Schizosaccharomyces pombe: one gene and its partner. Each later gene encodes a partner of the first gene's protein in a complex. Each region holds a gene or a part of one and is shown in the gene's direction. Other genes may lie near its edges.

Evidence for each region. The genes of interacting proteins can lie anywhere in the genome.
Region 2: rec12 (region 1) and rec14 share a complex: the UniProt entries of both Schizosaccharomyces pombe proteins name them as parts of the DSB catalytic core (DSBC) complex.

Annotation. Positions count from the first base shown.
Region 1 is NC_003424.3:1,771,134-1,774,758, forward strand, and holds rec12 (DNA topoisomerase type II (DSB-forming) Rec12/Spo11), read left to right. Parts: upstream 1-1,791; coding exon 1,792-2,072; exon of another isoform or gene 2,073-2,130; coding exon 2,131-2,239; exon of another isoform or gene 2,240-2,289; coding exon 2,290-2,367; exon of another isoform or gene 2,368-2,431; coding exon 2,432-2,560; exon of another isoform or gene 2,561-2,629; coding exon 2,630-3,070; downstream 3,071-3,625. Other genes in the region: UBA/TPR/DNAJ domain protein Ucp7, read left to right, coding at 3,125-3,625. UniProt on the Schizosaccharomyces pombe protein: Required for formation of the double-strand breaks (DSBs) that initiate meiotic recombination. Required for crossover recombination and chiasmatic segregation of chromosomes during meiosis I.
Region 2 is NC_003423.3:2,784,867-2,788,906, forward strand, and holds rec14 (Ski complex WD repeat subunit Ski8), read left to right. Parts: upstream 1-2,028; 5' UTR 2,029-2,111; coding exon 2,112-2,400; exon of another isoform or gene 2,401-2,453; coding exon 2,454-3,073; 3' UTR 3,074-3,540; downstream 3,541-4,040. Other genes in the region: inositol phosphosphingolipid phospholipase C Css1, read right to left, coding at 1-685; protein Gem7, read left to right, coding at 3,604-3,879. UniProt on the Schizosaccharomyces pombe protein: Required for formation of the rec12-mediated double-strand breaks (DSBs) that initiate meiotic recombination.

The DNA of each region.
Region 1 (3,625 bases):
TTTTTGGGTTTGTTTATGAATTCGTGAATTTTTAATTTGGTCATAGTTTTGACCATTAAGTTTGTTTTCCAAAAATGCTCTTTCCTTATCTACTTCGTTTATGCTTTGGAAAATTTCTTCTAAATAATATCTACGGGACTTCCTAATTCTTAAAATTGCAAAATCCGTCCGTGTTCTAAGTATTTATTTATTTTACTATTGTCTAAGTATATCGGAATGATTCTCAGAGCTTTGCACTTCTTTTTCCCTAAATTTTCTATTAACTTTTATCTTTTTGTTATTGTATTAACTTACAAAAGTAATACCGGTTCATCATGCAAAATTCCATGTTTTAACAGTTGTCATAACCTCTATCTTTTCTGTATAAGAAAGGGTAACTGTAAACCACAGTGCTATTGTTGCCTAATTGTTTCTACGTTTTCTTGAGTATTAAATACTTATTAAGAAGAAGCAAAAAAAAAAAACTTGATGAAATTATTCTCCTTTAGAAACCCTTGCTCATTTTTTATCTAGTTCGTCCTGTTTATCTGCTATGCCACAAGTACAAATTTCGGGAAGCAATATGGAGTGCCTATTTTCATTATTGTTTTCCATTGATGTCATTAGAATATTATCGTTATTTGTACATCAGATTAATTGCTATCTTCTGTTCTCGCAATAAGTTAAAAAAGCTATCACTATTGTCTTGACGAAGTATTGCACCATAATAAATGACTATTAATGAATCAAGCAAACACACTACATATGGCAACTTTTAAGCTTAAAAAATTCGTTAAAGACCCATTTGGATAGGTAGCATTTTCGTACAATTGTATGTTCTCCAATTTTATTTTTTCATTTGCAAAAGCAAACCACTGTCAGTTTCTCTTTAGGGCTGGCACAAGGAAAGCATATGCTAACATATACATCGAGCAGATAGTGAGTTAGACTACTTCTTCATGTTTAGTGTTGCAAATGACTTAGTAATTCCTGATTTGAAAATCTGTAAACTAGAAACAATCTTAAATTGGATTGGAGGATATTTCAAACTGTCTTATCAAAATTAAAATGAAAGTCCTTCTTGTTTATATATATACCTTTTGTATAAAAAGGTCAGTTTCATTCATATTTTTAACATTAATGTTATTATAAATAGGTTTAAATAATCATCAAGTTAACAGTTGGTCGCATGATGTAGTCGGTTATCATGTCGATCTAATAAGTCGAATGTCGCCAGTTCGAACCTGGCTGTGACCATGTTTTTTAATTACGTTTTCTCTCTTGACAAAGGAGTTGGCAAAACGAAATTATAAGTACAATATTTATTGAAACAGTTGATATACATATTTTTATAGAAAATTAAAACTATAGAAATAAATTAAGTAACCGCTTGATCTATGGCTCTTAGTTGTCGTATGTTGCATTTGAACTCGAAAGAGTTCAAATATATTTACTTTTCTTTCAACTTTTCTGTAGACAAGAACATAAGTTGTTTAGGAATTTCAAATTTCGATCCATCTTTACGATTTACCAATTCAGTCCGCAAAGCTCGCGTGAGTCTTCTCTTACACCATTTTATCAGAAGGAAAGTCTTCAGTAAGTATTTTTTAGCAGTTAACGAAAACACATATACTGTTTCGCCTTGATATTACCCATTTATTGAATGTATGTATCATTTCTTCAGAAAACAATCTCGCTTAGATATAGCTTATTTGAATTAAGCTATTGATTTTTTACACTGTAACCATACGCGCTTTGCATAATTATCTAGACAATGCAAAGAATGCTGAACGCGTCCAGAAAGTAAAAAAAATGAATTCGAATGATAAAAAAAAAGTTGTTAGATCATGGATTGAGCAATTTGTTCATGATTTTGTTGAGCAATTAAGTAAGCCTACCAAAGATTCAGTAAATGTTGCTTTGAAAAGACGAAAGCACAATTCTTGGAATGGCAGCTTAGATTCAAAGGCCAATGAAAGACAAAAAGTTAAGGTTTTTTCATTCCCCAGGAATGAAACAACAATTGCTCAACTATTCAGGGTTTTAGATTGTGTTCATGAAGCTGTTATTTCGGATACAGTAATCACTAAGCGGTAATTGCTTTGTACTATACGCCGAAAATTCAGATTTAAGTTCTAATTACATTTGCAGAGATATTTATTACAGAGATGTAGATTTATTCAAGCGACAAACCGTAGTCGATGAGCTGCTTGGAGATATTTCAAACACCATTGGTTGCTCCAGGTCCGACCTTAACGTTGTAAGTCATTTCTTTGGAAATAGATTCATTAACGATTAATTTGATCTTAGGAAGCATCTGCTAAAGGATTGGTATTTGGGTCCATTCATATTGCTCTTGAAAACGGGACAGTAATTACTGCTACTAAAGTAGGTTCAAGTTTTAATAACCGTAAAAATTGTTTTTTCTAACTAAGAATTTTACTAAATACAGCCATTATTAATCTCTCACCATCGAATTTCATCAATCACTTCCACAGCAAAATGGGTCTTGGTCATCGAAAAGGAAGCGGTATTCCAAACGCTAACCGAAGAGGCTTTAGCGGATACAATAATTGTTACAGTAAGTGAGAATGCTTCCTTTTCAATGATATTGATGTTAGAGTGCTAGCTAACTAATTGCTTGTAACAGGCTAAAGGATTTCCAGATTTGATGACGAGAAAATTTTTAGTTAAATTAGCCAAAGCCCTCCCGGATGCTAAATTTTTTGGTATTTTTGATTGGGACCCCCATGGCTTATGCATTTATTCCTGTTTCAAGTACGGTTCTAATGCCTACAGTCATGAACCGCACAGTCAATTACGAAATTTACAGCTTTTAGGCCCTCTGTATGAGGACATTTTTAATAAAAACCAAGAATTCTCTTTAAAATTGAATAAAAGGGATATTAAAATGATTACAACATTATTACAATTTGAAGGCTTCCAAAAGGAGCCCGTTGTTCGTGAACAGCTACAGCGAATGCTGTTTATCCAGAAAAAAGCGGAAATACAAGCAATTCTAGAATTTCCTTCATGGATCAAAGGAAAATTAGCTGATGCCGACAAAAGTGGAAAGCACTCAGTACGTTAAGTTCTTGGATAGTTCAACCTACTTTCACTACACTCCCATAATAAAGCCTCCAACATGGATGACTTGCTAGATTTCAATTTTTACGATAAATCTACACCATCTAATCAAAATAATTACAGTAATAATAATAGTAGAACGCCATCCTACTCCCTTCCCGCCCCAGTAGCCCAGAAAAAGAATGCACAAATTCCATTGAAAGCATCAAAGCCCGAAGACCCTTTTGCTAATTTATTTCAAAAGAAAACGGATAATAAAATTTCCTTAAAAGAACTAGAAAGGCAGAAAGTTGGAACTCCGGACTCCAATTCCACCCCCAAATCTTCAAATTACGATCCCTTTGAAAACCTTGAAATTTTGCATCAATTATCAAATACTCCTAGAGATAAAGATGCAGTTATTCATGATAAGATTGAAGAAAATAAAAGGCCGATTTCACAACCACAAGTATCGGCTTCCGAGAAAGTAACTTTAAAGGATTTGTCTTTAGAGCCGCATCAGCCTGTCAGTTTACCCGCCTTTGAGAATATTGGTTCGGAAACCTCTATCCCCTTTGAA
Region 2 (4,040 bases), on another chromosome or scaffold:
CAGCAATTTCAACCAACTCCTTATCATTCATGCTGAAACGGTTAGGTGGATGCTCAACTTGGTCAGGATAGACAGACAGCCAAGCATCATTGACCAAACCATAAGAGGTAATGATTTCGTGAGGAACACTAAGGGGTTGAATGTTGAAGTCACCAGCAGCGATTACGATATGACCACGTTGAACAGCAGCACGGAGCAATTTCGAGATATACCAGGCTTGTGACAGACGGTGGCACAAGTAGGTATCAGCACCCTTACCGTATGGAGCATGCAAATGAGTATTGAACAAAGAGATGATCCTTCCAGAGGGATGTTGTAAACTAGCTGTAGCGACACCCTTTCCAACATACCAATCACCTCTCCAAAAAGCTTGAGGACGACCATTAAGTGGATACTTGTTCATAGAAGATTCAATGATAGGAAACTTCGAAAACATGGCAAGTCCAGCACCCATAGCAGCACTATGGAAAAACCTAGAATAGACAAGATTGCAGCTCACCAAGTTACGAATTTCCTGAAAATCGTAAATCGACCATACTTCTTGAAGAAGAACAATGTCATAATCGCACTTCGCAAGTTTTTCGCCAACAGCTTTCAAACGTTCAGTACGGTACTTGGAAACAAAGCGCAATCCCCAACAATTAAACGAGAGAACACGCAGTTCAGGGGCCTTTTCAACACTCATTGTTGCGAGGTTGGAATTAAAAAGAGATAAAGAAGGACGGAGTTATTGCCGTCAAATGGAACAGTAAAACGAATAGTTTATAATTTGTATGTAAAGAAATAATCTAACAAAGTTTATTAGCTTAAGAAGAAAGAGAATTTAAGAAAAAAATGGATAAAGAGACGAAATTGCTGAATTAGTATAAAAACAAACAAAAAGCACCATCGTGGTCTTAAACCAAGCCAATGTCATTAACAGCATGAATTATAAAGACTCTGTCTCTTTTCTTCCACGAAAGCAGAAGACCAGCAATTTTCGACAAAAAGCTCATAACAGTATTAAAGAAGTGTTTTGAGACATTAAAATACCAATTGCAACAATTACAGCCTCAATGCATTTCATTCATAACTTACCTGTAACTAAGCGACAATATGTGCTTATTAGAACACGTATTATTAAGAAATCAGGAAATTTCTGAATATATACAAGAGGAAAGGTGGCGTGTTAAGAAAGGAAACAAGAGCCTTGTGCTTAACTTAAGCCGTTATTGTACACAGAACTGCGTGATTTTTTACTAATGTCAGATGACTCCATTTCCGATGTGTTAAAGTTATTTATGTAACGCGTTATATTTCGGTAAATCTGTAAACATTGGAGTAGAAGTTATAAATACAACACTATGTGAACTTGAGTAAACATCCATATTCCAGTGTTAAAAATTGGTTTATTTTTTATTTAGTATCTTTTAAAAATCAATATTAAAGATAGTCTTTCTTCCCTTCTGAATTGTGGCGTTTTTAAAAATCGTTTTGTAAGTGTGTTTAAGTCATTCGAAAAAAATGGTATGAATAAACAAGTTGTTCCAAATTGCATAATGAAATGATTAGGTTATCTACTAAAATAATTTATTCAAATTTACTTTACCTATTGCAAGAATCACGAAGCGTTATTTATCGTTTCTCTTGACTTGCTACACTAGACGAGTAAGATAAAGGGAAAAAAGTAATCTTAAATTTTAGTAATTGCTGTTATCTATATCATATAAATTAATCGACAATTATGGGCGCCAGGTCTTTTTATTTCCTGGATGTTAACATTTGATATCTGCTCATCTTTATTTGATCAAACTTCGAATTGTTCAAATTTGAAAAACCTACTATTGCCAAAAGTTTAAACAATTTAATTCAGTGTCACGGTTAACAACTAATAATCTCACCTTCTCATTTCTACCTACAGAAAAGAATTATTTTCTTTCATTCATACTTATAAATTCATCTTTTCACTAACATGTTTAGGGTATGTGCATAGACCGTGTATATCTAAGGAGAACGCAACCACAGTAAACTAAGTCCTGCTAGTCACAGGTTTAAGTATTATAAAGTATTGGAAAGCGCCAGCATTTTAATTACTAATTTTGTTGTATTATTTTCCTTATTTATTAGATACTATGAGGAAAGAGTATCTCGTTAGCCATATAGAAGAAAATGCACATCAAGCAGACATTTACTCTCTCAATGTAGTCGCAGGCAATCTTTGGTCGGCTTCTGGGGATTCCAAAATAAAAAAATGGTCTATAGGTGATGCTGAGCATAGCTTAGTTGAAGAAATAGATACCCCTCATAAACTTGGCGTTCATCATCTAGCAACTAGCTTGGATGAAAACGTCGTCGTTTCTTGCGGATTTGGACAGGATGTTTATGTTTGGAATCCTGAAACTAATGAATTTCGAGACTTGGGTACGAATTACTTTACGAAGAAGCTATGCATTTCTCTAACGAATATGATTTAGGTAATAATGCTCAACATCCCAGCGAATGCTGGTCTTCTTGCATTAGCCCTGATGGACAAACGATTGCTTTCACATCTGTAGACGGGCGTATTGCTGTCTGGGACAATCCAAGTGATTGCAAAATTTCCGAGTTAGATACCAAAGGTAAATTCGGTCTTTGTATAGACTATTCTCCCAATGGAAGATTTATCGTTTCTGGTCATCAAACTGGGCAGCTTTTCCTTATAAGTACAGAAACAGGACGCTTGTTTCATGTACTATCGGGCCACACTTCCCCTGTACGATCAGTGGCGTTCTCTCCTGGTTCAACACTTTTAGCTGCTGCCGGGGATTCTAAAATGATTACTATCTACGACGTTTTATCAGGGGATCAAGTCGGCCAACTTCGTGGTCATGCTGCATGGATTTTTGCAGTAGCTTTCAATCCCGTAGGTGATTTGTTGCTTTCGGCTGATGTTGAAGGAAAAATCAAAATCTGGGATATTGACACCATGGAATGTATTAGTACACAAAGTGAAACGGATGGAGCTATTTGGGCTGTGGCATGGTATAAAAATGGGTTCATCGTCGCAGGTGCTGATAAAAGTATTCGTTGGTATAGAGCTGCTGCTACAGAATAATTGCACTCTTGTGCTTTCTTAATGACCGATGGAAAAGTTTTTAAAAAATAGCAAAAAATTAAGGAGTTTCTAATATTTGGATTAATTATGAATATCAACACTTTACTCGTAAAACGAAAGGATCTTGAAATGGATTATTTTAGGGTAACGCATTTTTCTTTTCACTTTCATCATTACAAGTATGTTTGTATCATTGTTTACTTTCGTTCGATACGCTTTTACTTTTTATATAAATTATCTAAGCATAAATTCCTAAGGAAATACGAATCTCATTCAAAGTTTCCATTGTATTTAAAACATGAGTTGACTCATAATATCTATAAAAGTTTATTTTTTATTTTATAGGTAATGGTTAGCTTAGTTTCTTATGTGTTTTAACTGTATTACATTACGTGCCTAGAAAGTTTACTCTCACATACGATAACGACGCAAACCGTTTAAAACCATGCACATACTGCATATGTTATAATCTTTACTTTGAAGACTTTTTGTAATTCAAGATTACTTTTTGTTGATAAATTTTCACACTAATGGCAGAAAATAATAAAAAGTCTACTGCTTACATCCAGAGGATGCGAACACTAAAATTTTATCAAAAAATGGCTTCTGCGCGAATCCCGATCACTGTGTACCTCCACGATCAACGAGAAGTAAAAGCAGAATTTGGAGCGATAGACAGTAGTGAGTCAAAGTTGGCAGTTTCCAATCTACAAACCGATTGGGGCGTTATTAACAGAGCGGTGATACGAACAGGAGACGTCGTGGGCATCGAATACAATTTGGTGCAGGAAGAAGGAGAACTTTGATGATACATTACGATTTTCAGATACAGAAGCCTTAACAGCCATGGTATTCAATTCAGTGTTTACAGATGAGAAAGCGTGATGTACATAGTATGCATAGTTGTATAGAAGCGCAACATAATTAATGTTATTTATTTAGGAGGAATATTAAAAATAATATCGTA